Linked DNA regions of Lonchura striata. The protein of the gene in region 2 interacts with the protein of the main gene of each other region in a pairwise test. Links are inferred from orthologs where the notes say so. Each region holds a gene or a part of one and is shown on either strand. Other genes may lie near its edges. The genes, in order: RABAC1, PLEKHF2, SETBP1 and MEAF6.

Region 1 (7,876 bases), on a different chromosome or scaffold from region 2:
CCCTCCCAGTCCCTCCCAGTATAAACCAGTCCCTCCCAGTCTCACCCAGCAGCACCAGCGGCGTCTCCCGGGCCCGGAGCCGAACGGCGACGCCGAAAAAAACCCCGAGAGCGACGAGGAGCAGCGGGGAGCTCAAACTGGGAGAACTGGGAGTTACTGGGAGCACTGGGAGCTCAAACTGGGAGCACTGGGAGGGACTGGGAGCACTGGGAGCTCCAACTGGGAGCACTGGGAGTTACTGGGAGCACTGGGAGCTCCAACTGGGAGAACTGGGAGTTACTGGGAGCACTGGGAGCTCCAACTGGGAGCACTGGGAGTTACTGGGAGCTCAAACTGGGAGCACTGGGAGGGACTGGGAGCTCAAACTGGGAGCACTGGGAGGGACTGGGAGCTCAAACTGGGAGCACTGGGAGTTACTGGGAGCACTGGGAGCTCCAACTGGGAGGGACTGGGAGCACTGGGAGCTCAAACTGGGAGCACTGGGAGTTACTGGGAGGGACTGGGACAAACTGGGACAAACTGGGACAAACCGGAACAACGCCACAAAACCCCCCAAAAATTCCCAAAAATTCCCAAAAAATTCCCAAAATTCCGCAAAATTCCCCAAAAATTCCCGAATTCCCGAAAATTCCCAAATTCCTCACAGGCAGCAGGCCAGCAGCGCCAGGAACAGCAGCAGGGAATTGCTGGGGAACAATGCCCCAAAAATGCCAAAAAATCCCCCAAAAACGCCCTGAAACCCCCCAAAATCGCTGTAGAACCCCCGAAAAATTCCCCAAAAATTCCCAAAAATTCCCAAAAATTCCCAGAATTCCCGAATTCCTCAGAGGCCGGAATTGCTGGGGAACGATGCCCCAAAAAACCCCCAAAAAATCACAAAAAATCCCCCAAAAACGCCATTAAACCGCCCAAAATCGCTGTAGAACCCCCGAAAAACTCCCCAAAAATTCCAAAAAAATTCCCAAAAATTCCCATAATTCCCGAATTCCTCAGAGGCCGGAATTGCTGGGGAACGATGCCCCAAAAAACCCCCAAAAAATCACAAAAAATCCCCCAAAAACGCCCTGAAACCCCCCAAAATCGCTGTAGAACCCCCGAAAAATTCCCCAAAAATTCCCAAAAATTCCCAAAAATTCCCGGAATTCCCGAATTCCTCACAGGCAGCAGGCCAGCAGCGCCAGGAACAGCAGCAGGGAATTGCTGGGGAACAATGCTCCAAAAATGCCAAAAAATCCCCCAAAAATGCCATTAAACCCTCCAAAATCGCTGTAGAACCCCCGAAAAATTCCCGAAAAATTCCCAAAAATTCCCAAAAATTCCCAAATTCCCAGAATTCCCGAATTCCTCAGAGGCCGGAATTGCTGGGGAATGATGCCCCAAAAAAACCCCAAAAAATCACAAAAAATCCCCCAAAAATGCCATTAAACCCCCCAAAATCGCCGTAGAACCCCCGAAAAATTCCCAAAAATTCCCAAAAATTCCCGAATTCCCGAATTCCTCACAGGCAGTAGGCCAGCAGCGCCAGGAACAGCAGCAGGTAGTTGCTCTGGAACCTCTCGGCGTTGTGGCCCAGGCGCCGCCAGAGCTCCCCCAGATTTTGGGGGACCCCGAAGCGCCGCTGGTCCAGGAAGGAGCCCCAGGGCCGCAGCCCCGCCCGGCGCGCCCCCAGCCAGCGCCAGGCCCAGCCGGGGGGGGACAGCCTGGGGGACCCAAAATCGCCAAAATTCACCCCAAAATCCAGCCCAAACTAACCCGAAAAACCCCGGCCCCAAAACAGCCCAAAAACACCCCAAAACCGCCCCAAAATCCACCCCAAAATCCACCCCAAAATCCACCCCAAAGCTGCCCCAGGGCCCCCAGCCAGCGCCAGGCCCAGCCGGGGGGGACAGCCTGGGGGACCCAAAATCGCCGGAATTCACCCCAAAATCCGGCCAAAACTAACCCGAAAAACCCCGGCCCCAAAACACCCCAAAAACACCCGAAACTGCCCCAAAATCCACCCCAAAATCCACCCCAAAATCCACCCCAGGGCCCCGAGCCAGCGCCAGGCCCAGCCGGGGGGGGACAGCCTGGGGGGGACCCAAAATCGCCGGAATTCACCCCAAAATCCAGCCCAAACTAACCCGAAAAACCCCGGCCCCAAAACAGCCCAAAAACACCCAAAACTGCCCCAAAATCCACCCCAAAATCCACCCCAGGGCCCCGAGCCAGCGCCAGGCCCAGCCGGGGGGGGGACAGCCTGGGGGGCGACCCAAAATCGCCAAAATTCACCCCAAAATCCACCCCAAACGAACCCAAAAAACCCCGGCCCCAAAACACCCCAAAACCCCCCAAAACCGCCCCAAAATCCACCCCAAAATCCACCCCAAAATCCACCCCAGGGCCCCGAGCCAGCGCCAGGCCCAGCCGGGGGGGGACAGCCTGGGGGGGACCCAAAATCGCCAGAATTCACCCCAAAATCCCCCAAATCCCCCGAAAATTCCACAAATCTCCCCAAAATTCCCCAAATCCCCCAAAACTCCCCAAAATTCCCCAAATCCACCCAAATCTCCCCAAAATTCCCTAAATCCCCCAAAACTCCTCCAAATCTGCCAAAATCTCCCCAAAATTCCCCAAATCCCCCAAATCTCCCCCAAATTCCCCAAAATTCCCCAAATTTCCCCCAAATTCCCACAAATCCCCCCAAAAGTCCCCAAATCCCCCCAAACTCTTCCAAATTCCCCAAAATTCCCCAAATCTCCCCCGAATTCCCCAAAATCCCCCAAATCTCCCCCAAATTCCCACAAATCCCCCCCAAAATCCCCAAATCCCCCCAAAACCCCCCAAAATCCCCAAATCTCCCCAAAACCCCCCAAAATCCCCAAATCCCCCCAAAATCCCCAAATTCCCCCAAATTCCCCCAAATCCCCCCAAAACCCCCCAAAATCCCCAAATCCCCCCAAATCCCCCCAAATCCCCAAATCCCCCCAAATCCCCCCAAAATCCCCAAAATCCCCAAATCCCCCAAATCCCCAAATCCCCCCAAATCGCCCCAAAATCGCGCCCCTCACCTGCCCAGCCCCCCCCTGGGGTCGCTCTCGGCCCCCGGCGGCTCCTGGGGGGGGGGCGCGGCCTCGGCCATGGCGGCGGCTTTGGGGAGAAACCGCGCGGTTTTGGGCAATTTGGGAAATTTGGGGAGAAACCGCGCGGTTTTGGGAATTTTGGGGAGAAACCGCGCGGGTTTGGGCAATTTGGGGAGAAACCGCGCGGTTTTGGGCAATTTGGGGAGAAACCGCGCGATTTTGGGCAATTTGGGGAGAAACCGCGCGATTTTGGGCAATTTCGGAAATTTGGGGAGAAACCGCGCGGGTTTGGGCAATTTGGGAAATTTGGGGAGAAACCGCGGGATTTTGGGCAATTTGGGAAATTTGGGGAGAAACCGCGCGGGTTTGGGCAATTTGGGGAGAAACCGCGCGGGTTTGGGCAATTTGGGAAATTTGGGGAGAAACCGCGCGGTTTTGGGCAATTTGGGGAGAACCGCGGGGTTTTGGGAAATTTGGGGAGAAACCGCGCGGTTTTGGGGGGATTTTGGGCAATTTGGGGAGAACCGCGCGATTTTGGGAAATTTGAGGAGAAACCGCGGGGTTTTGGGCAATTTGGGGAGAAACCGCGCGGTTTTGGGCAATTTGGGGAGAAACCGCGCGGTTTTGGGAAATTTAAGGAGAAACCGCGTGGTTTTGGGAAATTTGGGGAGAAACCGCGGGGTTTTGGGCAATTTGGGGAGAAACCGCGCGATTTGGGGGGATTTTGGGCAGAAACTGCGCGGTTTTGGGCAATTTGGGAAATTTTGGGGAGAAACCGCGGGGTTTTGGGAATTTTGGGGAGAAACCGCGCGGTTTTGGGAAATTTGGGGGATTTTGGGAAATTTGGGGGATTTCGGGGAATTCTTAAAGGTTTTTGGGGTCGTTTCGCAGATTTTGGGTCCCGCGGGGGATTTGGGGTCCCGGAGAGAATTTTTGGGGTTAAATCTGCAGATTTCGGTCCCGCAGAGGATTTTGGGGTCCCGGGGGGATTTTGGGGTTAAATTCGAGGATTTGGGGTCCGGGGAGAAATTTTGGATTAAATCCGCGGATTTTGGGTCCGGGGAGGATTTTGGGGTTAAATTCGCGAATTTTGGCGTCCCAGGAAGGATTTCGGGGTTATTCCGCTGATTTTGGGGTTAAATCCGGTGGTTTTGGGGTCCCGGAGAGGATTTAGGGGTTAAATCCGTGGATTTTGGGGTTATTCCGCTCATTTTGGGGTGAAATCCGCGGATTTTGGGGTCCCGGGGGGATTTCGGGGTTATTCCGCTGATTTTGGGGTGAAATCCGCGGATTTCGGGGTCCCGGGGAGGATATCGGGGTTATTCCGCTGATTTTGGGGTGAAATCCGCGGATTTCTGGGTCCCGGGGGGATTTCGGGGTTATTCCGCTGATTTTGGGGTTATTCCGCTGATTTAGGTGTTATTCCGCTGATTTTGGGGTGAAATCCGCGGATTTCGGGGTCCCGGGGAGGATTTCGGGGTTATTTTGCTGATTTTGGGGTGAAATCCGCGGATTTCGGGGTCCCGGCGAGGATTTCGGGTCCCGGGGAGGATTTCGGGGTTATTCCGCTGATTTTGGGGTTAAATCCGGTGGTTTTGGGGTCCCGGGGAGGATTTCGGGGTTATTCTGCTGATTTTGGGGTGAAATCCGCGGATTTCTGGGTCCCGGGGAGGATTTCGGGGTTATTCTGCTGATTTTGGGGTTATTCCGCTGATTTTGGGGTGAAATCCGCGGATTTCGGGGTCCCGGGAAGGATTTCGGGGTTATTCTGCTGATTTTGGGGTGAAATCCGCGGATTTCGGGGTCCCGGGGAGGATATCGGGGTTATTCCGCTGATTTTGGGGTGAAATCCGCGGATTTCTGGGTCCCGGGGAGGATTTCGGGGTTATTCCGCTGATTTTGGGGTTATTCCGCTGATATCGGGGTTATTCCGCTGATTTTGGGGTGAAATCCGCGGATTTCGGGTCCCGGGAAGGATTTCGGGGTTATTCCGCTGATTTTGGGGTGAAATCTGCGGATTTCGGGGTCCTGGGGAAGATTTCGGGGTTATTCCGCTGATTTTGGGGAGAAATCCGAGGATTTCGGGGTCCCGGGGGGGATTTCGGGGTTATTCCGCTGATTTTGGGGTGAAATCCGCGGATTTCGGGGTCCCGGGGAGGATTTCGGGGTCCCGGGGAGGATTTCGGGGTTATTCCGCTGATTTTGGGGTGAAATCCGCGGATTTCGGGGTCCCGGGGAGGATTTCGGGGTTATTTTGCTGATTTTGGGGTGAAATCCGCGGATTTCGGGGTCCCCCCGCCCCCGTTTCCATGGGAACCGCCCCCCCTCACCTGAGCCCGGAACCGCGGGAACGCGTGGCGGGGGCGGGGCCACGCAATGACGTCACAGTGGGTGGGGCTACCACCGTATGCAAATTTGGGGGCGTGGTTATGTCCATATATGGTTGTGGGCGTGGTCTAGACGCGCGTTTGCGAATTTTAACGAGGTGGGCGCGGTTTAACTGCCAGTATGCAAATTAATGGGCGTGGCCACGCCTTATATGGCAATGGGGCGGGTTGTGGGAGGGGCTATGCCCTTATATGGATATGGCGGAAGTTCGGGCTCCGTTTTGGGGGGGGAAAAGGGGAATTTTGGGGGCGAAACGGGATTTTGGGGAGAAAAAGGGGATTTTGGGGCAGAAGAGCGGATTTTTTGGGGGAAACAATTGGGTTTTGGGGGAGAAAGGGGAATTTGGGCAGTGAAAGGGGGAATTTTGGGGTAAAAGGATTTTTTGGAGGTAAAGGGGATTTTGGGGGGAAAGGGGGAATTTTGGGGGGAAAAGAAGATTCTTGGAGAAAAAGGGGATTTTTGGAGGGAAAAGGGGAATTTTGTGGGGAAAGGGAATTTTTTGGGGGGAAAAGGGAATTTTTTTTGGGGGGAAAAGGGGATTTTTTGGGCGAGAAACGGCGTTTTGGGGTGCAGAAAGGCCATTTCTGGGTAAAAAAGGGCGATTTTGGGGATAAAGGGGGGGAAATCGGCGCTGTGGGGAAAAGCGGGGTTGATTTGGGGCAAAAACAAAAAAAAAAACGGAATTGGAGGGTGAAGAAAAGAATCAAAATTTCCCAGCCCCCTCCCCAAATTCCCAGCCCCCTCCCCAAATTCCCAGCCCCCCCCCATCCATCACCCGGCGCCGCCGAATGCAAATTCCCCAAATCAAAACATTTTACTCGTAAATGGGCCCGAACTAATTAACTCAAGTGTTAATTAACGCCGCGCCGCCGCCGCCATCCATCTTCGGGGGGGGGGAGGAATTGGGGAGGGGGGAGTTGGCGGGGGGGGAGGGAATGGATGTGGGGGGGGGAGATGGTTTGGGGGTCCTCGAGTTGGGTTTGGGGGTCCCTGACCCGACTTGGGGGTCCCTGGGGGGATTTTGGGGGTCCCTGACCCGAATTTGGGGGTCCCTGGGGGGATTTTGGGGATCCCCGGGCGGATTTGGGGATCCTCGAGTTGGGTTTGGGGGTCCCTGACCCGACTTGGGGGTCCCTGGGGGGATTTTGGGGATCCCTGACCCGAATTTGGGGGTCCGGGGTTGCTTTTGGGGGTCCTCGAGTTGGGTTTGGGGGTCCCGGTGTTGGTTTTGGGGCTCCCTGACCCGATTTGGGGGTCCCTGACCCAAATTTGGGGGTCCCGGTTTGGCTTTGGGGGTATCCGACCCCTATTTGGGGGTCCCAGGATTGGTTTGGGGGTTCCCGGGGGGATTTTGGGGGTCCCAGAGGGAATTTTGGGGGTCCCCGGGGGGATTTTGGGGGTCCCTGAGGATGGCGGGAGTCCTTGGGGCGATTCTGGGGGTCCCGGAGGGAATTTTGGGGGTCCCCGGGGGTGTTTTGGGGAGGGGTCTCTCGGGGGTGGGTTTCCCCGTCCTCATCCCCGGGGGTTCCGATCCCGGGGGTCTCGCTGCCCCCCCGGTGCCCCCGGGGACCCCAGCCCCATTTCCCCCCGGTGCCCCCAACCCTTCCGGGGACCCCAGCCCCATTTCCCCCCGGTGCCCCCAACCCTCCCGGGGACCCCAGCCCCATTTCCCCCCGGTGCCCCCAACCCTCCCGGGGACCCCAGCCCCATTTCTCCCCGGTGCCCCCGGGGACCCCAGCCCCATTTCCCCCCGGTGCCCCCGGGGACCCCAGCCCCATTTCCCCCCGGTGCCCCCAACCCTTCCGCGGACCCCAGCCCCATTTCCCCCGGTGCCCCGGGGACCCCAGCCCCATTTCCCCCCGGTGCCCCCCAACCCTTCCGGGGACCCCCAGCCCCATTTCCCCCCGGTGCCCCCAACCCTCCCGGGGACCCCAGCCCCATTTCCCCCCGGTGCCCCCAACCCTTCCGCGGACCCCAGCCCCATTTCCCCCCGGTGCCCCCAACCCCCCAACCCTCCCGGGGACCCCAGCCCCATTTCCCCCCGGTGTCCCCAACCCTCCCGGGGACCCCAGCCCCATTTCCCCCCGGTGCCCCCCAACCCTCCCGGGGACCCCAGCCCCATTTCCCCCCGGTGCCCCCGGGGACCCCCAGCCCCATTTCCCCCCGGTGCCCCCGGGGACCCCCAGCCCCATTTCCCCCCGGTGCCCCCCAACCCTCCCGGGGACCCCAGCCCCATTTCCCCCCGGTGCCCCCGGGGACCCCAGCCCCATTTCCCCCCGGTGCCCCCGGGGACCCCAGCCCCATTTCCCCCCGGTGCCCCCAACCCTCCCGGGGACCCCAGCCCCATTTCCCCCCGGTGCCCCCAACCCTCCCGGGGACCCAGCCCCATTTCCCCCAGCCCCCCCGGTCCCCCCCGGTCCCCCCCG
Region 2 (8,247 bases):
ACTCACACCATCCTTGTTACTCCAGGCATGCCCCCTGGAGCAGGTGCCGAGTCCCCAAGAGACACAGAGTGCTGGTGTGGGAAAGCTGGGTTGGGTGCAGATCTTTATGGAAGATATTGTGGGAATGAGAAATCCGGAAGTTGAAGAAAATTTGCAGGTGAGCTCCTGGAAGACACAAAGGTGGGGCTCAGCAGGAAGTCCTGTATGGTACCGCTGCAGGAATAGGGTGTGCAGCAGGAGGCACTGATTTGCTTCTGATTTCTGCAAAGAGTTTGAGCATGCAAGCAAGAATGGACCCAACACCAAGGCAATGCAACCATTGCAATGGTGGTGGCTCCTCCATGAGTGTCATCCTCCATCCTGAAATGGCTCTGCCACAATGGGATCTCATTACCACAACCTTTCCGCTGGCAAAGCCATCCGTTAGTGCCAGAAGTGTTCCAACAACTGAGGTAAAAGAAAAATACGATTTTCATTCACTGGTTTAGTAAATTTTCTTCAGTTCCACATAACCATTTCCACCAATCCCTCAAAAAGGACAAGCTTTTAATGAAAAGATGCTGATTTGCAAAAGCCTCATTTTAAGACATTAAATACAGATAATACAATACAGAGCTTAGGCTGATTTCAAGCTTAGTGAATTGTTTTAAATTCTCATTTAAAAATAATCTGAAATTCACTAGCACTGAATTACTACTTCTCAGGTTCAACGAAGGTGTCACAGCAAGTTAAGTAGGTTGTGGTCTTCTTTTCACAAAGATCAAGCACCTTCCTGATGACGTGTCTTGGGACATGTCTTGATGACAAGACATTAACCACCTATGAACCTGGTTTTGTTTGCTGGTGTGTATGGGAGCAAGAACATTGATCTCATTCAGGAACTGAAGGTCACATCTGGTAGGCCTACAAAGAAAACAGGAACACTGATATCAGGAAAACAGCACTGTTTGTAAGGGAAAATACATGAAAAACATGGTTACAAGACCACTGGAACTGGTTAGTTTGGAGTTTTTTTGAGGGGGATGGTGGTGCTTTGCAAAATATTCTTGTTTGCATTATTAATATTTCCCAATACATCCCAAGATTTCCAGACCCCCAAGACCCCACTGGAAAAGGAAACACCGACAGTCCCATTTCAGTGGAAGGACCTGACAAAACATGAAAAAGAATTTCTTCTTGACCACAGAAAATTAGTTACAACTCAGACAGAACATGTGGCATGTTTCAATCTTACTTACTCAAATAATGAATGAAACTTTCATTCACATTCTCCTACCCATTCACTCAGGCAGTTGACACCATTTCTCATAAAAAAGATTACTCCCCTGTTACCCTGGCTACATTCATTAGCAGCTGCACAAGCTACCAGAGTCTTTCCAGTCCCTGGTGTACCATAGAATAGGAAGTCTCTGCAATTAAAAAAAAAAAAATCACACAAGAAAAAATCTTAATGGAAAAGTGTCTATTATAACCCCCATCCCTAAAGAACACAGCTCTCCTTAGCAAAACACTTCATGGATAACAAACACAGCAGTAACAGCTAAAGTGTGAGAAAAGTCAAAAAGGGCTCCTACACAATTCAACAAGGCAGCAAATGAAATTAATAAAGAGGATAATGTACAAAACATTGAGAAGAGATAGTAACATCCCAGAAGGACACATCCAAAAGCTGTGACATACCAAGAGGGGTGGGTACAACACAGTGGAGCCAAACAAACTTCCAGTGCAGAAGCTGAGACCAGGATAACTTAGAAATCACCTGTTCTGCATATTCATTCTCGTTTTCACAAAAGGCAAGATTTGAGAATAAAGCATTTAATTGTCCCTTAAATAGCTTTAAATTTCTGGGTTTGGTCTCCCTTTGCAGGTACTAAAGAAGTAACCTAAAGCTGGGAAGGTATTCTGCATTACCATCTACTAGAAAAACCAAGATGCTGCTGCTTCAAAATATATTTCATTTCATAAAGAAGCAAAAGACAAAGATTTTCTTTTCATTGTTTGTAATACTTTCTGAAGTTACTGAAAGCAAAGCATTTAAAGTCCCATTTGAATATAACATGACTGAATTTTGCTGACCAAAAATATATAATGTTAATGAAATCTCTAGGAATTTCATTTTGTAACACAGAACTCGGCTGTTACTCCTCTGTAAGAAGTGGACAGATTCTTATTTTAGCTCAAGCACAACAAAGACTGCAAGGTTCTAATTGCAAGTTCTGTCAATTTTTAAACTGATTCTTGAGCATTTGAAAAAAAAAAACAAAACAGTTTGTGGGAGAGACAAGTGGGCTTCCATGAAGCAAATTACAGTTGACTACCAGTAGGTAATTCATTGTACATGAAACTCTAAAGGAAAAAAAATCTCCAACTGCAGCTTTTAAAGGCAAGCCACTTTTAAAGAATAATCTCACTTGACAGTAAATCTCTGAACCTACATATATGCTGGTTTTCATCATTTCTTAAAATACTGCTTTTTAATTTTCTTAAAACTATGTTTTACTACTGCTAAAAAAACCCCCATTCAACAGTGCTGAAAATTTTGGAGCATTTTTGTATATTAAACAAAGCTACAACCTCAATAATGTTCCATCAGAATTTCAATGTCAGCACAAAGGAAAGGTTCACAGCAATTTTCAAATTGCTTGAGAGAAACCTGTAAGCCAAGGGAGTTGTAGATAGTCCATTATTGGAAGCTTTCATAAATAGTGTAAATGTCTCACTGATATGTTGAAGTAAAAATCTTACTGAAACAACTATTTGCATTAGCTCAACATCAGACAGATTTACTTCAATTTTCATGTGATCCCTGTGAAGATTTGAAGTGAAAATGCAAGCTGTGTGCAAACAGTGTCCATTCAAAAATCATAAGGCAATTGAGGAAGCACAGTATAAGACAAGTGCTGCAGCGTATCACTGCTATTTCATATTTTCTGAAGAAGGTATTTCCTCCACACTTAAAGCACAGCTCTGGCATAACTGACAGTAAGATTATAATTAGAGAGCAGAAATAAATGTCATTTTAGACAAGCTATGCTTTGGAATAAGTTTTTTTTCAGCTAAATTAAAATTACAAATAATCACTCTATGTGAAATAGTAAAATACATTAGTGTCTATTTCTTCCAGTAGAACACCCCATGATCTCCCATCCTTTTCCTTCCATGCATCTTCTCTATGCAGTTAGTTTTTTGCAAGATTGCTTCTGCAGTACTAAGATACAAATTTGACATGTAAGAGCAAAGATAGATAAATACAAAAAACTCTATTGAAACTGACACACATGATCTGTAATGACATTTTGATATAGTGAACACACAGCAAGAATTACTGGCATTTAGCCAAGTTTTTCAAAACTACTTAAAAATTAGGTCAAGTGTTTACTTTTTTTATACATACTTAGGAAGAAGTGTTTGCGGATTTGCAAACGGACCGTTTTCATATTTATTTTCCCCTCTTGCTAAACAGAGTAAAAAAAGAATTCTGAAGATATAGGAAGTTAACAGAAAAAAATTATGGCAGGCTTTCACAGCACTAAAATTGCTTTGCATGATAACATTTTGTTTCCAGCTTTCCTCAGACAACAGGTTACTTATTCTCTTAACCGGAGTTAAGGTCTTGTGCTGATTTTCCATTACTATACATGGTAGAAAGAGCATCTCACTGCTGTTACACTTTGTAAACCTTTCAGAAAACAATGTCAGTTTGCACTTCAGGAAGAGAATTAAAACACAGATACGCAGACAGAAACACTAGGACTGCTTCACTTTGCCTGTATCCAACTTTCTGCTGCATCTTAATTCAACTGGGTGTTATAAAATTATTTGTAAGCATGAAAGAAAAGTTAATTACCCACAAAGCTGCTTCTGATGCCAAGAAAATTGATTTAGATGATAAGTTAAATCTACAGAAGTTTACAACACAAAGAGAAAGGTTCACAGCAATTTTCTTTTTGGTTCACAAGAACCAGGCCAGCCCATACATAAAAGATCCTCTGGTGTGAAGATCTCTCTGCAACTGACAACAGTTGAAAATGAAGACACTTGTGGCCAATTTATATATTGGCTGTGCCCGAATTCTTTACATATGAAGCACTGGCCTAATACACCCTGCTGCATGCAATCTGAGATTTGTGGCTTAAGCCACAAGCACCTGTTTCCAAAAAACTCATGTTAAACGGCTTGGCCCACACCTTATATAAATCAGTGCATTAAGAGTAATTACATGACAGCTCAGGCTGACGCACTGGATGGATTTGAGGGAAAACTGGAAGACTAGATTGTCATGCTGTAGGGTGCTCAGAGCTCCATGTCCTGCTCCTTGCTCCCTTTCTGTGTGCCTCTTCTGCAGCAGGAGAAATGCAGCTCAGTGATGTGGCTCTTGCCTGTGTCCCTGTCTGAGCTGGGGAAGAAAATTCAGCTGAAAGTTCAGCAGTTTCATGATTTCTACTGGAAAGCCCCACTACCTATTTTTAATCTGCAGAAAAGCCAGACATGGTATTGCTCAATAATGTGAAATTTGAAAAATGAAACTGCCATATAGCATGTAAGTGAAATTTTCTTGGGGAGAAAAAAAAAAAAAAAAAAAAAAGGCAGCCCATTGGGCCATTTTCCAGTGCAGACTTTAGTATCAGAGCAACACCATCGAAGTTAATGGTGCTGTACCCTTTTATCTCCTCTTGCTCCACTCTCTTCAGAACCTTCCCAGCCACCCTTCCCCTCTGACAGCATCCATCATCGGCTGGAAATCCTGGAGGACCAGGTGAGCTGCCGAGCAGCCGGCTAGATTTGAAAAATACTGCTCTGGATGACTCAATGTGTACACACAAAAAACTCTGACACAGAAGGTGGAAGGGGCTCCTTGTGTTGACAGCGTTTCTGGTGGAAACTCTTCTAGGCTGACGAACAACTCCTCAGACTGAAACATGTCACTAATTCCCTTCCATGTGCTGCGTAGAGAGAAGTGCTTAAAAACGTGCCCATCCTGAATTACCTCTGGGCGAGCTTACTTAGAGCCACGGGCGCGCACACAGACCCGCGATCGCCCACAAAGAACGTCTCTCAAACATCCGCAGGAGGTCGGTGGGGAGCCGGCAGCCTCCCGCTCCCACGAGGCGCCGCCCGCGGGCCGGGCCGGGCCGGGCCGCTCCGCCCTCCCGCCCAGGGCGCTCCGCGGGCCGGGCCGGGCCGCTCTTCCTTCCCGCCCAAGATGGCGGCGGCCCCGCCCCGCCGGGCGGTGTCCCGGAGCCCGTCCCACGGCGTGGGGTGTATGACCGCGCCGTGCGGCGGGGAGGGCAGGCGGCGGCCGGAGCGGGGTGTGCCGGGTGAGCAGCGCTGTCCGGCCGCGTTCTGGGCGCTCGGGGATGGCTTGGGTCGGGGCCGGCCGGGCAGCGAGAGGGAAACTTTCCTCGCGGAGCCCTCCTCCGCCGGGACTCCGGCCGCTCTCTCGCGGCCATGTTGGGAGCCGGGGGCTGCCCGGGAGGAAGGAGCGCCCCGGCGGGAGGCGGCGCTGGGCTCCGCTGTCCCGCCCGGGGCTGGGGCAGCGCCGCGTCCCGCCGGCAGGGAGGCAGGCGGCGGGGCGGGCAGGACCCGGGGAGGGAAGCGTCGGCCGCGGGCGCTAGCTTGTCCCAGGGCACTGAGAGAGTTGGGGGCTCTCGGCAACGAGTTCGTCTTCGGGAAAGGGGAGAAACAACAACGGCGGCGGCCCCGCGGCGTTACGTAAGTGCCCGAAACTCCTGGACTCGTGACTCCGCCGGGGCGCCGTGAGGCGGCGGGACGGGCGGGCGGGCGGAGGGCGCTTCCTGCCCCGGCGGGCTGGGGCCGCGCTGCCCCGAGCCTTGGCGGCCCGGGGGGCTCCGTGTCGCTCTCGGAGCGGGGCGCCTGAAAAGTGTTGGCACTGTTGTGAAAAAACAGCGGAACCGCGAGCCGTGCGGCTGCGAGCATAAGGTGCTATTTGTTTTCCTCTATGAAATTCACCTATTTTGAGGGGAGTGTAACAGGTCTGCCAGAGATACGTATGGCCCGTAAACTGTTTTCTGAAAGTAGCTCGAGAAAAGACAGCCGCATGTTTTTCCTCTCGCCTCATTCGAAATACTTTGTTCATAGGCACTCATGTTTATAAATGGCAAAACTGCTCATCGCGGCGAGAAAGCGATGGGTGATTCTGCTGAGCAGCACGTCCTGGCATCGGCTTTGTCCCTACTGAGGGAAATAGCTGTAACTCGAGTTTTGACATAAAGCATCAGTGCAATGGTTGTTGATAGCCAAGAGGACCTTTTATATCCTTAACCAGAGATCAGGAATCGTCTTTTGGCTGAATTGATGCAAATGGTTCCAGAAGCATCATTAAGTTCTAATTCAGGCTGTCCTCAGGCTGTGCTAAGAGTTTCTGAAAGGGTTGATGCTTATTTGAGAAACACTATATCTGAAGCTTCAATGTGCCTAACAGCTTAAGGTCAGATGAGGTTAATACAGTAGGCAAAGTGACTCTAAAAGCAGACCCACAACACAGGAATCTTTCAGAACCGAGACTGCAAATTCCTCTTTCTCTCATGAAATAAGGAGAACTTAAATATCCAGATCTTAAGTTCTGATACTTGTCTATTGAATTATTTTAGGGATGCCTGTCTGAAAGAAGGGAAGTATTTAAAAGACAGCAGTGTAATCGGTGCTGAGATCCTGCAGATTAATTGCTTTGTGTGCCGTCATCAGCATGCAGAATGGAATTGGTTCTTTAGCTCAGAAGGCAGTGCTCTTGCTTTTAGCCTCTAATCTAAAAACTGTTGACTAATCCCAATGGGTAATAGGAATCCCAGTGTTGTAAAATGTCTTTTATATTAGCTCAGTTTCTTAAATAATACTTTTCCAAGTGTTTTAGTGCCACCAATTTTGTTGAAAACAACAGTGAAAGTGAAGTGTTGTATGCCTGAGTCCCAAATTCTTCCTTCTGAATGCAAATCAGCTGTGTGCCGTTTGATGTGTCTGAGTTTTGCTCTACATACAAGCCCACATAGAGGAAGTTCCTTAAACACTAAATAAAAACTGTTATGTAGAAATTTTTAGCTGGAGAAGCTGGTTCAGTTTCCACCGTTGTATTCTGTAGAAAGAGAATACCATCTTTTCACCTGAAAAGCAAGCTTTCATTAGATGCAGTGATGAAATATTTTTTCAGTAAGAGCTTTGTTCTGTTACCCTTAAGTCAAGGGATGAGCTTTAACCATAGTAAATAGACATGTCCCCAGAGTGACAGATCTATCCATAGTATCTTAAAGCGCTTTGGTTTACAAAAATTATCATTGGTAAAATATTTGCTCTACTCAAAAGGTATGGTGACTTTTAAGTTTCACTATTGTGCTTAGTGGATGCAGGATAGTTTCAGAGCAGTAAAGAGATGGAACTGCAATTTCACGTGAGGCATGATATGACAGAGCATTGCCAAAAGCCCCATGAGAGCCGTTATGGCAGAATACGAACACTGGTGTCATACACTTACAGCATTTTTAGTGGCTTGTCTTCGCCAAAGAGGGCTAGAGGTGTTTAAGTGAAAGCTTAGGGTCAAGGCATGGCACATAGATAAGGCAGAGTTGAATTTTTTAGTACTTGCAGACCTCATTTTCTGAAAATGTATGTTAGATAAAATGTTGGAAGTTGTGTCCTAGCAGACTAATGGCATGCCAGTTTTTGCGCTTATTAATGGGCGATGTCAAATAAGGAAATCTCAGTACTAACAAATAATATGATTCTTAGAAGATGGTAGGTAAAAATAAAAAATTTTTGATTTTTGTACTAGGAAATGAAACCTTGTTTTGTACAGCTTCAAATCGTAAAGGCGCTTTTGTGACTTATTTCAAGCTGTGTTAATATTCAAGCTTACTTTTTTCCATTTAATTTTTTTTTAAGTTACAGATCATGCTTATATATGTATATTTTACTACTTTCCTGACTTAATTCAGTATTTAGATGAAAGTATGATATTCCAAAAGAGAGTACTTACAGGCAAATGTGGATTTCTGAAATAGAAAAATGTATTAAAAACTTTCTCCCTAATGCAGCAAGTGCCAAGTTTGGTGTTGTAGGATAATTTTTCATGATTCATTGGAGGACTTGTTTTTATAGTTGAGGGGGATGAAAAAGTACTCTATAGATAGGTGTGGTAGAATATGTTTACTAAAGATTGCTTTATTGTTGTTGTGAACTGTAAGATATGATTACATTAGCAAGTAGAGTCCTGCAAATTCAGGACTGCAAGAATGA
Region 3 (7,618 bases), on a different chromosome or scaffold from region 2:
GATGAGCCAGAGCACACAAGGAAAGTATCTGTTTTAAGCAATTTTAATAGTAAATATATACTTTTGATAATCTGATTGTATTTTTCTATCCTATAAAGGTACCCCTGCTTCACTGGGGACCTCTCAAGATAATTTTTTTGTATCTTTTACATTGACTTACAAATCACCCAATAATTCTGCATAGGTTTAATTTATACCTTGAACTTAAGGAGAGTCATATAGATATCTAACTTAATATGCTATTTATATAAAAATAAGAAACTCATGTCCTTCACTACAAAACATCTGTCTCATGAAGTCAAGGTTATATGTAGACTGTTAGGCACAAATAGGAAACTCATCTCAGGTCTGCTGCAGAACTAAACCAACTTTATGAATGCCATCATACTTTTTTTAAAGTTAAAAGAACAAAGAGGAGAAACTTCCTCTTTGAGATTATCCACTTAGATTGAAATCCTTGACACACAGCAGAGACAGAGGGAGGAGGTTGTTTAAAAGAGGGAAAATTTTCTAGAACTAGAAGACAAAATCACAGGTCAGAATACCTTTGATGTCAGTGCTGATCCACAGTGATTTATGCACACGTGTCCTACACAATGACCACTCAAAAGGATGGGTCTTTTTCTGTTTATGAAATTTATCCTGACAGAATTTGATGCCCACAAGTAAAAGTAACCAGGTGTGATTTTGTTTTTAAATTTATACATAACAGGCCTAAAAATAACTTTGGGTGAATCACAAACTCCCTTTGCTAGGTCTGAGTATTTTTTATTTCTTTATATTCTGCCATGTTTTCAAAGTGAGCATTAAATAAGCCATTATCTCTATTGCTTCCTAAGTTGAACTCACTTTGAAATTATTTTTTGTGGGGCTGTTTAAATACATTTGTTTATGTATATGTATCCTCTCCAGAAGTAAATAAATTAAAAATAAAAAGAGAAAAGGCTCACAGAATACTTTTTATCCTAAATTTACTGTATATAATAAAAATATTATTTTCTAGAAAAGGGGAAGCAAATGTGATAATTTTTTTCCCTTTCTCTCTCTCTCTTTTTTTTTTTTTTTTTTTTTTGAGTATTTGATTCCATAATTAGGTTTTCTGTGTTAATCTAATCATGCCAATTATTTCATAACTGTTTGTCAGCTTATTCCAAGGAGAAAGATGATGGTCAGCGGAGCTCTTTGATACAGAGTTCACCTGCCAAAAGTTTTCATTTCAAAACCAGAATTCTTCACAGGAAATGTCACCACCAGCTCTGCCAAGAAATGTTGAATCTGTTTCTTTTTCCTTTTGTTTAGATACAAAATGACAAAATGTAGCTCCAGTTGGGTGATTTAATTTGAACAAACAAGCCTCTCTTCCATGTCAAAGAGCGGATTGGAAATGACAATCCCTGTTTGGTTTCAATCAGAAATGCCAACGATTTCAGTGTGACATTCCCGATCCAAGAGTTGTGAGTCGCATGTTTGTTTGGGATGGAGATGGGGTTGATCTGTTGGTCGTCATTTTGGAGGTTTCTTGTGTATTTTACCAATTCATCTGTTTTCTCCTATTGGAGAGAAGCATGAGGAAAAGACCATGAGGGAAGGACAGGCACAGGCTGCTGTACCTCAGCTCAGATGTTTGGGATTTGTACGTATCTTGGAGGATGTCAGCCACATGGAGAGATCCAAAGGGAAGTGATGCTTTGGTGTGGTTTTTACTTAAGATTTTTTCCCAGGAATGCAGCAGGGCTGAGGGCACATACTCACCCAGGTGACTGAGTCTGCTGATGGTCCAGGAGGGCTGTGCTGGCATCTTGGGGCCCACAAATTTCTTCCACCTATTTGGGGTTAGACTGCAACCTGTGTTGTAGGTCTGTTGCTTCTCCTAAAGGGACAGGGTGAGAGAGATGCAGCTTTCAAGTCTGAAGAAGAGAAGGCCTTTATAAGGGAACCCCTTCTAGGGCCTAAAGGTGCTCCAAGAGAGCTAGAAAAGAACTTTTACAAGGGACTGGAGTGGGGAATGGCTTCAGACTGAAAGAGGGCAGGTTTAGATTGAATACTAGGAAGAAATTCTTGGCTGCGAGGCCCTGGCTGTTGGCCACAGAGAAGCTGTGGCTACCCCATCCCTGGAAGTGCCCAAATCCAAGTGGGATGGGAGTTTGGAGAAGCCTGGGGTGGTGGAAGGTATCCCGGACCATGGCACAGGGTGGGACAAGATCTTTAACATCCCTTCCAAGGCAAAAAATTCTAAGATTCTATGATGTATGAATAAGCTTCCATGGCAGGTAAGGGTCAACCCTTGCATCAGCTGCACACTGAATTCAGGTCACTCAGGATGATGGCCTGAAGCCACCCTCTGTCCCAGAGCAAAGAGGGGAGACTTGATGTTCTTTGAGCCTCCTGCAGCACACTGGGACAGGGAACCCTGTGGCACCATCTTTGCAAGGGATCAAACATGCAGCGGAACACAGTAGGATACTCCCTATATTCCCCCTCCTGCCCTTGGAATGTTATCTTCATTTATAAGTACAGTTCCACAGCTCCATTTCACAAGTCTTTCCTCCTCTGGGGGTTCCTCCTCATCATCTCAGGCAAGCCAACAATTTACTCATGTGAGTAAAGGTATGCCCAGCTGGCAGACCAAAATGCAGTATCATCCAGATTGCTGGCAGAGCAAGGGTGGGAAAGAAAAAGCCCAACAATGTGGATTTCGCACCGCTCCCCACTGGCCTGCAGCTGAGTTTGTGTTGTATTTTGTACATTGCTACTGGTCCATTCTGAAAGGTGATGGAGGTGGGGGAGTGGATTTAGACCTTAAATTAGGGGTCAAGAGTCCTTGCTTATCTCGTCCAGCCCCAGAGAGGGAATTCTCAGCGTGGCCTGAACAGCAGTAACTGTCCCCCAAAAATGCCTCACACGGGTCACGAGCCCGCCGCCAAAAGCATATGGGGGGCTGGCGGGGGGCGGCTGGGAGGGCGTGGGAGAGACTGAGCTTGAAGTGGGATAAATGGGATAAATGGCCCTGCCCTGAATCTCACCTCCTCTGCCTTTTCTCCCCTGCCCCCATCAGTGCTGCAGTTGTGTCAGGTAGTGGCACTGTTGAGTACATTAACCCGGAGCTGAGCATTGCAGCCACGCCGAGTGCGTGTCTGCGTGTGTGAGTGTGTGTGAGAGCGGGTGTGTATGTGTGTGTGTGTGTGTGTGTGCGTGTGTGTGTGTGTGTGCGTGCCTGATCATTACCATTTATTCCCCACACTTCTCCTCCTCCCCCCGCCCCCAGTGCTGCAATACTCCGGGAGCGATGGAAACAGAGGAAAGAGAGAGACATCAGCCCCCCAGATCTGCTTAACCAAATCGCCGCCCCTTGCAGGGAAAGGAGGGGGGAGGGGGGGGAACCAGACCAAAAAGACAAAATAAAAGACAGAGAAAGGAAAAATCCAGCGGGGGAGCAAAAAGCCGCCCCTCGGCGCACCCTTTCTCAGCGGGGAAGGGGATGCGGGTGTGTGTGTGTGTGTGTTGTGCGAGTGTGCGAGCACCGACTCCGGCCCCATCAGGGGAAGGGGGTGTTTTCCCTCCGCCTTCCCTTCGCCCTCCCCCGGCCCGGCGCGGGGCGGCGCGGGGGGAGCGGAGCGGAGCGGGGCGGGCGGCCGCAGCCCCGCAGCCCGCCGGAGCTCCGGCACCCGCTCCGGAGCCCAGGGAGAGCAGGGATAAAGGGAAGCTTCCTCGCCGCCGCCAAGCAGCCCTTTTCTCCTGGCGGGGCTTTGCTCCTTTTCTTTCTTTTATTCTTTTTTTTTCATCGGTTGTTTTTTTTTTTTAATTTCCCTTCTTCTTCTTCCTTTTTTTTTTTTTTTTTTTTTAATATTTTTGAAACTCCTCGCCGGGAAAAGCAAAACCGAAAAGGCTTCCCCGCAACCTCGCCCCCCTGCAAAAAGGCTCCCAACCAACCAAGAACAAGAAGCAGAGAGCAAAAGAGACCCCCCTCAAAAAAAAAAAAATTAAAAGAAGGAAAAGAAAAAAAGAGAGAGCTGGAGACCAGCTCCATCGATTTCAAATCCAGGATTTCATCCAGTATTGAGGGGCTTCTTTTTTTTTTTTTTTTTTGGTCTCTTTTTTTTCCTTCTTACCCCCTCCTCCTTTCTTTCACCCCCCGCCCCTCTGTCCCCCCCTTCTCCTCCTACTCACCCCCCTTTTTTCCTTTTCATTTTATTTTGGATCCTGCTAAAATTAGCCGGGACTGCTCTGGGTGTTGCGTGTCAATTTGATTTACTCCGGGATTCCGGCTTTCCAAGACGCCATTTTCCCCCCTTTCTCGCTCTATCTCCTTCTATTTATCCCTCTCTATCTATCTTTTATCTCTCGAGCTGTCTCTCCGTCTGTCTGTCCGTCCATCTCCCTCTCCCCGGTGCCTTCCTCCTCCCCCCTCCCTCCTCCCTCTGCGCTCTGCGTGCGCTGCGCGGCCGGGCGCTCCCCTCATCCCCATCTGACAGATGAACACCGCCATGGGTTTGCCGCAACACAAGCAAAAGCACCTTTGGGGGCTGTGGCGAGGGATTGAAACCGGGATCTAAAAGAGAAGAGACAAGAAGGGGGGAAATCCGAGGAGGAGGAGGAGGAGGAGGAGGAGGAGGAAGAAGGAAGAAGAAGAGGAAGCTGCTAAGAAGCCCCCGCTGCCGTTTTGGGGATATGGGTTAGTAAATGCGGGGAAAAAAAAAAAAAAAAAAAAAAAAAAAAAAAAAAAAAAAAAAAAAAGGGAACCAAAATTCTGAGGCATCGAGGAAAGGTTTGCCTTAATGATCGGGATTGCAGGAGGATCGTACGCCTCTCTCCTTTTCCTTCACCCTCCTTTTTTTTTTATTTTTTTTTTTTTTATTTTTCGCCCTTCTGCATGCAAAAGTTAATGTCGTCCCTTTTTTTTTTACTTTATTTTTTTCTCTTTTTTCCCCTCCTCTCTGTTATGACTTTGCAATGGCGCGGAAAAGGGCTTTATTTTTTTTTTTTTTTTGGGGGGGGAGGGGGGAATATTTCTCCTCTGTGCATTGCATGCGAATCCTCTTCCCCGTCCCCTCCAACCCCTTCCCTCCCCATGCTTTGTGCCTGTTTAGGATCATGTGTGCGTATCTGTGTGTGGCTCTCGTGGGGTGGGGGGTACCGGTGGTGTGTGTAAGACTAGGAAGGGGTTGGAATTTTTTTCAGGAGTTTGAATAATGTATTTATTTCCCCCGCACCCCCGCCATATACCCCCTCTGCCGGCCCCCCGCTTTGGTAGCCTACATGTGTTTATATGCGTAGGTGGCTGCTATGTGTGTGCCTGTGGAAACTGGGGGGGGGAGACACGACCCCCCCGCTTCGTAAATTGCAGGTTAAGTGGAGCTAGAGAGCAACACTGTAACCTTATGGGGATTTGCGTGTGTGTGTGTGTGTGTGTGTGTGTGTGTGTGTGTGTGTGTGTGTGAGTGTGAGTGTGAGCGTGTGTGTGCACGGGGCTCCGCGGCCGCGTTCCGCGGGTGAACCGGGGGGCGCCGCTGCCCCGGGGTGGCCCCGCCGTGCTTTTGACATTGAAAAGGACACGCAGCCCCGAAAAGCTGCGATTTTGGGGAACAACGAAATGGGAGGACGGGGTGGGGGGGTAGTAATTAGCAAAGAGGGACACCCCCTCTGCCGCCACCCCCACCACGCTCGGTGGCTGGATAATGGTTCTTAATCAGCCGGTGATTGCCGCCCTCGGGACCCTGATGGCCCCTTGTGCCCCACAACGGGCGGACGCGGAGTTCAGCTATGGGCAGGCTGAACACCGCCGGTATCGTCGGGCTGCGGGGTGATGTGGGGAAGAGGGGGTAACACGAAGCCCGCAACCTCGGGCTGCTATTGTCAACCCCAGCCCTGGCGCAAGGCTCCTGCCCGGCGCCGGGCACTCGCACTCGCACTCACACTCACACCCCTTCCTCGCCGGGTTTCCCCGGAGGGCAAGGGGAACTGGGGTCTCCCGCACCCCTTATTGAATCCCCAGGTGGGAACGTGTGTCAGTGTGAGTGAGTGTGTGTGTCAGCCGTGAGCGTGTCCGTGTGTTTGCATCCCAGCATCCCACCGCCCCACCGGGCACGGCGCTCCCCGCGCTGCCCCTTCCTGCTGTATTTATGTCTCCAAAAAGCAGTTGAGAGAAGGATTTCCGATTCGTTTCCGCTTCAAATAAACGGCCCCGATAATCCCGGGCCTGACGCCTGATGCTGAAAAGGCACTTGGCCGCCCGGAGCCCAACCCGGGGAGGCGGGGGGAGACAGGGCACACCCCGACTCGGACACCCCCAGTGGGCAGGTTCCCCTGGCTTCGGGAGGGGTGATGAGGTGGCTGGTGCATGGGGGATGCACACGGGGGATGCGAGGGGAGATACGAGGGGAGTACCCACTCATTCCGGTACCGTGGGGTGGCGGTGTCCCCGCGGCTGCCGTGAGCCGGGTTAACCCAACCGGGCTCTGGGGGGAGTGGGAGGACGAAGGGAGGAGGGGAGGGGAGCCTGGCAGGCTGTTCCACCGGTGTACAGAGGTGTTTCATTAGCCACAGGCCCGCAGTGGCCCCACTCTGGGGTGGGGGTGTCCTTCTATGTCCATCTGCCACACAGCAAAGAGATGCAGAAGAGTGGGGAGAGGAGAGGGCAGAACTGGTCAGTGATCTGCTGTGCGTGAGAACATCTGAGCCTCCTGGTGTGGATGGAAGGAGGAAAAGGCTACTGGCAAATCTAGTCCTGTGTGGAATATTATGGGTCCAAATGGGAACGATTACTGGTTTGAAAGCCCCTGCATGCAGGATTGACTTGGTGCAGGCTACAGAAATGGCATTATCAGGTGCGTAGAGACAAGTAGCGACAGCATGAACCTGAGGAAACAAGTGGACCCTATTTTATGGACAGCAAAAAAATATTCTTATCAGGGAATAATAGAATCATAGAATGTTTTGGTTGGAAGGGATGTTAAAGCTCATCTCATCCCAGTCACATTTTCCCTCAAGGCAGGGACACCTTCCCCTAGATCTGGCTGCTCTAAGCCCCATCCAGCCTGTCTTTGAACATTTCCAGGGACTGGACACATTCATGGGAAAATGTTAAAGTGTCAGTTTTATGCACAGCTTTCTGCACTTACTCAGTCTTTGCTGAGATTATGCCCCTCATCAGAAGCTGCTTGCACTCAAAGGAGAAACTTTTTTTCATCTTAATTTGTTTTTTAGCTGAAAGGAGAAAAAAAAAAAAAACATCCACACAATGGACTTGTACTTTAATCTGTGCTCTTAGCCTCTTAGCTCAGAAGGGTTATGTAAAAATAGGAAAAAAAACAAAAGCAGAAACACTCAGTGAATGGAGACTTCTCTTCCATCTCTTATTGGCTTCAACTTTTTTTTTTTTAAACTTCTCAGACTCAAAGTTTTAATTGAAACCAGAAGTCTATTGAGAAGTAACTGAGCCAAGAAAACCTCTGTTTTCTCTGCAACTAGGGATGGGGAATAAATAATTTTTAGCTGATGTTATTTCAAGTCGTTTGAGCTTTTTGATTCCTGCCAAAAAGCCCAGCACAGATTATTAACACATTATCATTTTAGGAGGATGCACTTTTTGAAATGCTATAAAATGGTGTGTTAGGTTTGT
Region 4 (7,381 bases), on a different chromosome or scaffold from region 2:
CCTCACGTGCTTTCAGCGCCCTTGCCGTGTCTCTGGTGGCTCAGGCAGTGCTTTTGTCCTGCAGGCTGGTGGAGTACACCCGAGCTGATGGCACCGTGGGCCGCAGGGTGAGGCCCTACATCATCGACCTGGGCTCGGGGAACGGCACCTTCCTCAACAACCAGCGCATCGAGCCCCAGCGCTACTACGAACTGAAGGAGAAGGATGTGCTCAAGTTCGGCTTCAGCAGCAGGGAGTACGTCCTGCTCCACGAGTCCTCAGATAAATCTGAGGCCAACGCCAAGGACGATGATGAGGATGAGGAGAAGGAGGAAGAGTCTGACAGTTAACGGATGAGGAAGAAGCAGGGGAGAGGCAGAGGAGAGAAACTCCTCGTGGTTGAACGGGACTGGGATGTGAACACGGAGCATTGCAGCACTGATGCCTCTTGTTGCCTTAAAGTCTTTTCTGTGTTGCTGGTCTGTTCCCATAGTTTGTTTTGGGGGGGCTTTGCTCGTTATTCGTGTTTGATAGTTTTGCATATCAGGAAATACAGCTTTATTTTTATTTTATTTTTCTCCCAAGAAGCCGAAGAGCACCTGGATGTGAAAACTCTGGTGCTGGAAACCCTCCACAGATGTTGTCAGACTCTTCCAGCAAACCATGTCAAACACGGACAGCATCTGGAAAATTTTTATGACTTGTTTTGTTATATCCCTTTGAAAATGCTACAGACTGAAAGGTTATAGAGTACCTGATGCTCGTTCTTTTCCGTAGCTTGCCAAATTCCTCTGCCTGTTGGGAGTTCTGACAGGAGAATTTACCTGAATCACTGCTAAAATGGCAGAAATGTGCAAAGACCCTCATGAATTTGTATGTTTTGGGTATCTAATTTGCCTCATGGTTACTGAGGGATGGGCATTTCACTGGAATTCCACCTAGGAATCACAAGGGAATGTGAAACAGAAGTTAAATAATTCCTGGAATTTCAGGTGATGAGACTGTGACCCAAGTTCCCTGTTCCCACACATGATGCTGAAACTGTCCTGGATGTGGAGTGTCTGGGTTGTAAGCTAGAGCCCTAATTTCTACCCCCACCCCAGGGTTTGTGTCAGACAGAAACGCCTGTGACAGGGTGACGTGTTTTAACCAGTTTGCACTATTTAAGTTCTCTTTTTATAAAAACTTCCCCAAGTCCTTTGTTGAGCACAGTGAAGAAGTCAGTGTTCAGGGAGGAAGCACCAGTCCCACTCAGTGGGAGCTGCAGTTTTTGGTGTCTCCTCCAACGTTGCTTTATGTTCAGTGTGTATATCCCACCCTTCACTGATTTCACCTGGGTGTTTGTGGTCTCACCTGTTCGTCCCTGCTGTGTACAGACTGTACACAAAGGTGCTTGTTGTACACATTGACAGTGTAAATATGGGGCATTGCTGTGGGGTTTCAGATGGGTAGGATGGGGTTTGAGCAGGAGGAGCTCCTTTATATCTGCTCCAAGGGTTTTTAAATAAACAATTTGTAAATTTAGCCATGATTGCTTTCTGTTGTAATATTTTTCATTGGGTGTTTGGGGGAAAAAATGGGGGAAATGGCAATTTTTGGGAAAAAATTGTGGGAAATGGGATTTTTGGGAAGGAGTGACAGCGCCTATCAAAAGATTTGTTAAGCTCCGAATGGGAGGTGCCAGAATTGCTGTACTGCAAAAGGGCAAACTGGCCCCCAAACTGCAGAGGATCGGAGCGACACAGTTTAATAGGATCACAGAAAGGTTTGGGTTGGAGGTGTCAGGAAAACTAACCCACACCTGAGGGTTATGCCCAAAAAAGAGACAGAGGAGTCCTGGAACTTTATTCCAATAAAGGGAGAGGCCATGGGGCATTTCCCATCGAGTCTCTCAAGTTGTTAGAGGATGAAGCCTCCTTTTTATCCCAATTTCTCAGCCACATTTCCCTCTCTCTTTCCCCACTGGCTGAGGTATTTGAGAGGTACAAACTTCCCAATACAGACCCCCTTCTAATGTATACCCCCACCTTTTCCTTGTCAGTCAGTGGAATTCCTATAGAATCAATGCTTCTTCCCACTACTTCTTTCATCTCTCAATATCCAATTTTATTTATCAGCAGACCCACAGTAGATCTGTAAACACAAATCCCTCTCATTCCATTCATCAATCAGTGAAATCCCACTGCTGCTTTTACCTCAGCGCTAGTTTTACCTCCCCACAGTTGGTTTGTAAAGACAAATCCCTCATTGCTTTCAGAGGGACCCTGAAGACTGCAGAACCGGGGAATATGTGAATATCTGAATAGGGGAATATCTGAATATCTGAACTGGGGACTGTCTGAATGTCTGAACCGGGGAATATCTGAACTGGGACTACCTGAATCACTGGGTGGGCAGAACCACCGACCGTTCCCATTCCCATCGCTGCTGTCGCCACCACGTCTCTGTGGCTGTCTCTGTCACTGTTGCCGCTGCTGTCGCTACCGCTATCTCTGTCCCTGTCCCTGTCTCTATCCCTGTCCCTGTCTCTATCCCTGTCCCTGTGCCTATCCCTGTCCTGTCCCTGTCCCCATCCCTGTCCCTGTCTCTGTGTCCCCGTCCCTGTTCCTGTCCCTGTGTCCCCATCCCCATCCCTGTCTCTATCTCTGTCTCTGTCCTCTCCCTGTCCCTGTCCCCTGCCTCTATCCCTGTCCCCGTCCCTGTCCCTCTCCCTGTCCCTGTTGCTGCTGCTGTCGCTATTCCTGTCCCCGTCCCTGCCTCTGCCCCTGTCCCCTGTCCCCATCCCAGCCCCTGTCCCTGTGTCCCCGTCCCTGTCCCCCGTCCCTGTCTCTGTCTCTATCCCTGTCGCCGTCCCTGTCCCCATCCCTGTCTCTCCCCATCCCCCGTCCCTGTCCCTCTCCCCGTCCCTGTCTCTATCCCTGTCCCGTCCTCGTCCCTGTCCCTGTCTCTGTCTCTATCCCTGTCCCCGTCCCTGTCCCTCTCCCCGTCCCTGTCCCTCTCCCAGTCCCTGCCTGTATCCCTGTCCCAGTCCCCGTCCCCGTTCCTCTCCCTGTCCCTGTCCCTGTCTCTGTCTCTATCCCCATCGCTATCCCTGTCCCCGTCCTTGTCCCCGTCCCTGTCCCCATCCCAGCCCCTGTCCCTCTCCCTCTCCCTGTCCCCGTCCCCCGTCCCTGTCCCTCTCCCTCTCCCCGTCCCTATCTGGGTCCCTGTCCCCGTCCCTGTCCCCGTCCCCGTCCCCGTCCCTGTCCCTGTCTCTGTGTCTATCCCTGTCCCCGTTCCTGTCCCTGTCCCTGTCCCTGTCCCTGTCCCTGTCCCTGTCCCTGTCCCTGTCCCTGTCCCTGTCCCTGTGTCTATCCCTCTCCCTGTCCCTGTCCCTGTCCCCGTCCCTGTCCCTGTCCCTGTCCCTGTCTCTGTCTCTATCCCCATCGCTGTCCCCGTCCCTGTCCCTGTCCCTGTCCCTGTCCCTGTCCCCATCGCTGTCCCTGTCCCTGTCCCTGTCCCCGTCCCCGTCCCTGTCCCTGTGTCTATCCCTGTCCCTGTCCCTGTGTCTATCCCTCTCCCTGTCCCTGTCCCCGTCCCTGTCTCTGTCCCCGTCCCTGTCCCTGTCCCTGTCCCTGTCCCTGTCCCTGTCCCCATCGCTGTCCCTGTCCCTGTCCCTGTCCCTGTCCCCGTCCCCGTCCCTGTCCCTGTCCCTGTCCCTGTCCCCGTCCCTGTCCCCGTCCCTGTCCCCGTCCCTGTCTCTGTCCCTGTCCCTGTCCCTGTCCCCGTCCCCGTCCCTGTCCCTGTCCCTGTCCCTGTCCCTGTCCCTGTCCCTGTCCCTGTCTCTATCCCCGTCCCTGTCCCTGTCCCCGTCCCTGTCCCTGTCCCTGTCCCCGTCCCTGTCCCCGTCCCTGTCCCCGTCCCTGTCCCTGTCCCTGTCTCTGTCTCTATCCCCATCGCTGTCCCCGTCCCTGTCTCTGTCCCTGTCCCTGTCCCTGTCCCTGTCCCTGTCCCTGTCCCTGTCTCTATCCCCGTCCCTGTCCCTGTCCCCGTCCCTGTCCCTGTCCCTGTCCCTGTCCCTGTCCCTGTCCCTGTCCCTGTCCCCATCGCTGTCCCCATCGCTGTCCCTGTCCCTGTCCCTGTCCCTGTCCCTGTCGCCGCTGCTGTCGCTGCCGCCGCCTCCCCCGCGCTCCCGGCTCCGCAGCGCCCCTGGCGGCCGCCCGGCGCCGCCGCTCCCGGCTCCGCAGCGCCCCTGGCGGCCGCCCGGCGCCGCCGCGCCCCGCCCCGCGCAGGCCGCGCCGCCATGGCCGCGCTGCACGCCAAGGCCGGCGGGCCGCCGCAGATCCCGGACACCCGCCGGGAGCTGGCCGAGCTGGTGAAGCGCAAGCAGGAGCTGGCGGTGAGCGCCGGGGCCGGGCTGGGCGCGGGGCGGGCGGCGGCGGCGCGGCCGGGGCGGCGGCGGGGCCGGGCGGCGCGGCCGGGCCTGCTCCATGCGCGGCGGCGTTCCCGCAGGAGACGCTGGCCAACCTGGAGCGGCAGATCTACGCCTTCGAGGGCAGCTACCTGGAGGACACGCAGATGTACGGCAACATCATCCGCGGCTGGGATCGCTACCTCACCAACCAGAAGTGAGTGGCGGAGGCGCTGCCCGCCGGCCCGGGTCCCCCGCCCGCCGGCCCCGCCATCCCGCCTGTCTCTGTTTCAGGAACTCCAACAGCAAAAACGACCGCAGGAACCGCAAGTTCAAGGAGGCCGAGAGGCTCTTCAGCAAGTCCTCGGTCACCTCGGCAGCGGTGAGTGCCGGGATGAGCCCTGACCGCTGTGCTCACCCCTCTCCTTATCCCTGGCCCCATCCCTTTCCTTGCCCCCATTCCTCTTCCTGTTTTTTCCCCATCCCTCAGTCCTGCTGTGATCACCTGCAGAATTACTTCCCCATTTGCAATCCCATCCCTGCCCTGGCTCCCTGCCCTAAGCATCCCCATCCCAGTCTCCATTCCCATCCCTTTCCTTGCCCCCATTCCTGTTCCTGCTTTATCCCCATCCCACCCCTGTCCCTTGGTGCCTCAGTCCCGCTGTGATCACCTCCAGAATGACTTCCCCATTTGCAATCCCATCCCTGCCCTGGCTCCCTAAGCATCCCCATGCCACCCTGCAGCCCCTTCCAGAGCCCTTTCCCAGTGTTTGGGGTGGGAGGGTGCCTGTGCCTGCTGTCACCGCTGTCCCCTGGCTTTGTCACCAGACCCCCGGTGCCACACGGGGCCATGGGCATCAGAGGGACGTGTCTGTGTGAGCTGGGCTCCATGCTTTGAGCACTGGGAAGTGAATCCCTGCTTGGCTTGACATCCCATTTGGTTTCCCAGGCTGTCAGTGCGTTAGCTGGAGTCCAGGACCAGCTCATTGAGAAGCGTAAGTCCCTTCATCACTTTTCTCTGAATTTGGGAAGAATTACACTGTCCCCCACCATTCAGCCCTGTCTCAGCCTTCCAGATCTGGGCTGGGGTCTGGCTCCCCTTCCCAATCCCTGTGTCTGCTGCCCTCGGGCTGCTCCTGTTGACTTCCCAAGTTCTTTCCAGGCTCAGAGGGCTTTGTTGTGTGTAAAAGGGACTGGAATTGCTTTGGTGCTGTGTGGAGGAAGAGGCTGGACGAGCTGAAGCACTGCATCTGTAGATGTGTCAGTCACAGGAGACCTGGGGAGGGACCACACACCCCCAGGACACTGAAAAAACGTTTTTGTGATCAGCACCAAAGGGGATGTAGTTCCTCAGTGCTGAGGAGCAGCTTCCTGTGTGTCCTGCAGGGCTGTGTCCCAGGCTCTGTGATTCACCTGGTGCTGCAGGGCTCAGGTGCCTCTGCTGCTGTGCTGGGGTTGTTTCTCCCACTCAGGGCTGTGCCAGGAGCTCACCCTGGTGCTCACCTGGCTTTGTCCTGCTCTAGGGGAGCCGGGCAGTGGCACAGAGAGTGACACTTCTCCAGACTTCCACAACCAGGAGAATGAGCCCAACCAGGAGGATGCTGAAGAGCTGGATGGCTCCGTGCAGGGTGTGAAGCCCCAGAAAGCTGCTTCCTCCACTTCCTCTGGGAGCCACCACAGCAGCCACAAAAAGAGAAAGAACAAAAACAGACACAGGTCAGTGGGACCAGCAGCCTGCTCACCACACCTGGACAGTTGGCTGGGGCTGGATTGAATTTATTGCCTGAGGGGAACCAGTAGCACGTTGGAATAACCAACAGGCAGCTGGGGTCAGTTGTTTGGGTGTTTTTCCTGGTTTTGGAAGAGGAGGGGAGAGTGCCAAGGAAGTTAAACAAGCAGCACAGGGTGCTCACTCCAGCTGTGGCACAGCTGTGCTTCTGGGCAGCTTCTCCAGCTCTTCCATCTCTCCAGGATAAAGCTTGTTCCTTCCATCAGGTCCTGACCTCCTGAGCTTGCTGCTTGGTTTCTGTAGGGCAGGAATGTTAGTGCTTTCTTTGAAGGAGGGTGGAAAGCAAATGGGAATATTTTTGGGGTTTTGGACACTCCCAGTGTCTGGATTTCCACTGCAGCCCCTTCCAGCTCTCACATCCCTATGGAGTCTCAGTGCTGGCATAGAGGAGTTGCTGTGTCACCTTCACCTGAGAGTGTTTGTTATTAAACTGACCTGAAATTTATGTGAAACAGATTCCTTGAACTCTTTTCTGGTTGGATTTACCTGTCCAGCTCTGCCCCTAAGGTGTCATGAGGGCGATGAGCTGGTCCCTGTGCCCTCAGCCCAGGCTCTGGCAGTGACAGTGCCTGTGAGTCAGGCCCTGAGGGAGGAAAGCTGAGGAGAGGAGATACATGGAGCTGTCTGGAAGGATTGCTGAAGCTGGGGCCTAGGGATCTCACAGAAGTAATGGAGCTTTTAAAACCCTCTAGTTTTAAAAGCTCTCAGAGCCAGTCTGTGCTGGCTCTGAGCTGTTGCCTCTGCCTAGGGACAGGCTCTCCTCTTTAAGGGACCTGCCATGCAATTAGAGAAAGGATTTAAAGTGGTAAAAGTTTAAAAGGGGGGCTGGGGTAGTTGGGGTGGGGACACGAGGTAGGTACAATGCTTGAAAAATGCTTAACTCCTTTTTTGCCTTCATTAAGTGTTGAGTCATTAGTGTGTCTTTAATTCTTGGGTCAGAATTTCCTTCCTACAGCAGCTTGAATTGGGCAAATATCCGAAAGGACTGGATGTCCCTTTGGTTCCCCATGGGCTGGGAATCCAAAGAAGTTCAAATCTCTTTTTTTGCCTGTAGATATTTGGAAGAAGTTCAGGAATAACACAAGAAACTACATCCGTGAACAAGTCCAGAGAAACAACCTGTAAAACTGAAGTACAGCTTAAGAAAACTGCCATTTCAAACAAATTATAAAATATTCTCCCTGGACAAACCATGGCCAACAACATGGTGGGGTGCAGGGCAG

Evidence for each region.
Region 1: the proteins of PLEKHF2 (region 2) and RABAC1 interact in binary tests that used the Homo sapiens proteins (3 or more experiments, as listed by UniProt). The two-hybrid records come from large-scale screens. The link is inferred for Lonchura striata from reciprocal best matches to the Homo sapiens genes PLEKHF2 and RABAC1.
Region 3: the proteins of PLEKHF2 (region 2) and SETBP1 interact in binary tests that used the Homo sapiens proteins (3 or more experiments, as listed by UniProt). The two-hybrid records come from large-scale screens. The link is inferred for Lonchura striata from reciprocal best matches to the Homo sapiens genes PLEKHF2 and SETBP1.
Region 4: the proteins of PLEKHF2 (region 2) and MEAF6 interact in binary tests that used the Homo sapiens proteins (3 or more experiments, as listed by UniProt). The two-hybrid records come from large-scale screens. The link is inferred for Lonchura striata from reciprocal best matches to the Homo sapiens genes PLEKHF2 and MEAF6.

The regions. Positions count from the first base shown.
Region 1 is NC_134639.1:279,244-287,119, forward strand, and holds the start of RABAC1 (prenylated Rab acceptor protein 1), read right to left. Parts: upstream 3,122-7,876; coding exon 3,051-3,121; intron 1,701-3,050; coding exon 1,503-1,700; intron 138-1,502; coding exon 46-137; intron 1-45. UniProt on the Homo sapiens protein: General Rab protein regulator required for vesicle formation from the Golgi complex. May control vesicle docking and fusion by mediating the action of Rab GTPases to the SNARE complexes.
Region 2 is NC_134603.1:23,857,377-23,865,623, reverse strand, and holds the start of PLEKHF2 (pleckstrin homology domain-containing family F member 2), read left to right. Parts: upstream 1-5,205; 5' UTR 5,206-5,318; intron 5,319-5,532; exon of another isoform or gene 5,533-5,712; intron 5,713-8,247. UniProt on the Homo sapiens protein: May play a role in early endosome fusion upstream of RAB5, hence regulating receptor trafficking and fluid-phase transport. Enhances cellular sensitivity to TNF-induced apoptosis.
Region 3 is NC_134642.1:45,897,312-45,904,929, forward strand, and holds the start of SETBP1 (SET-binding protein), read left to right. Parts: upstream 1-4,454; 5' UTR 4,455-4,672; intron 4,673-7,618.
Region 4 is NC_134628.1:4,680,829-4,688,209, reverse strand, and holds the start of MEAF6 (chromatin modification-related protein MEAF6), read left to right. Parts: upstream 1-4,239; 5' UTR 4,240-4,261; coding exon 4,262-4,357; intron 4,358-4,470; coding exon 4,471-4,586; intron 4,587-4,663; coding exon 4,664-4,751; intron 4,752-5,318; coding exon 5,319-5,364; intron 5,365-5,892; coding exon 5,893-6,085; intron 6,086-7,212; coding exon of another isoform or gene 7,213-7,237; exon of another isoform or gene 7,238-7,381. Other genes in the region: SNIP1 (smad nuclear-interacting protein 1), read left to right, coding at 65-329.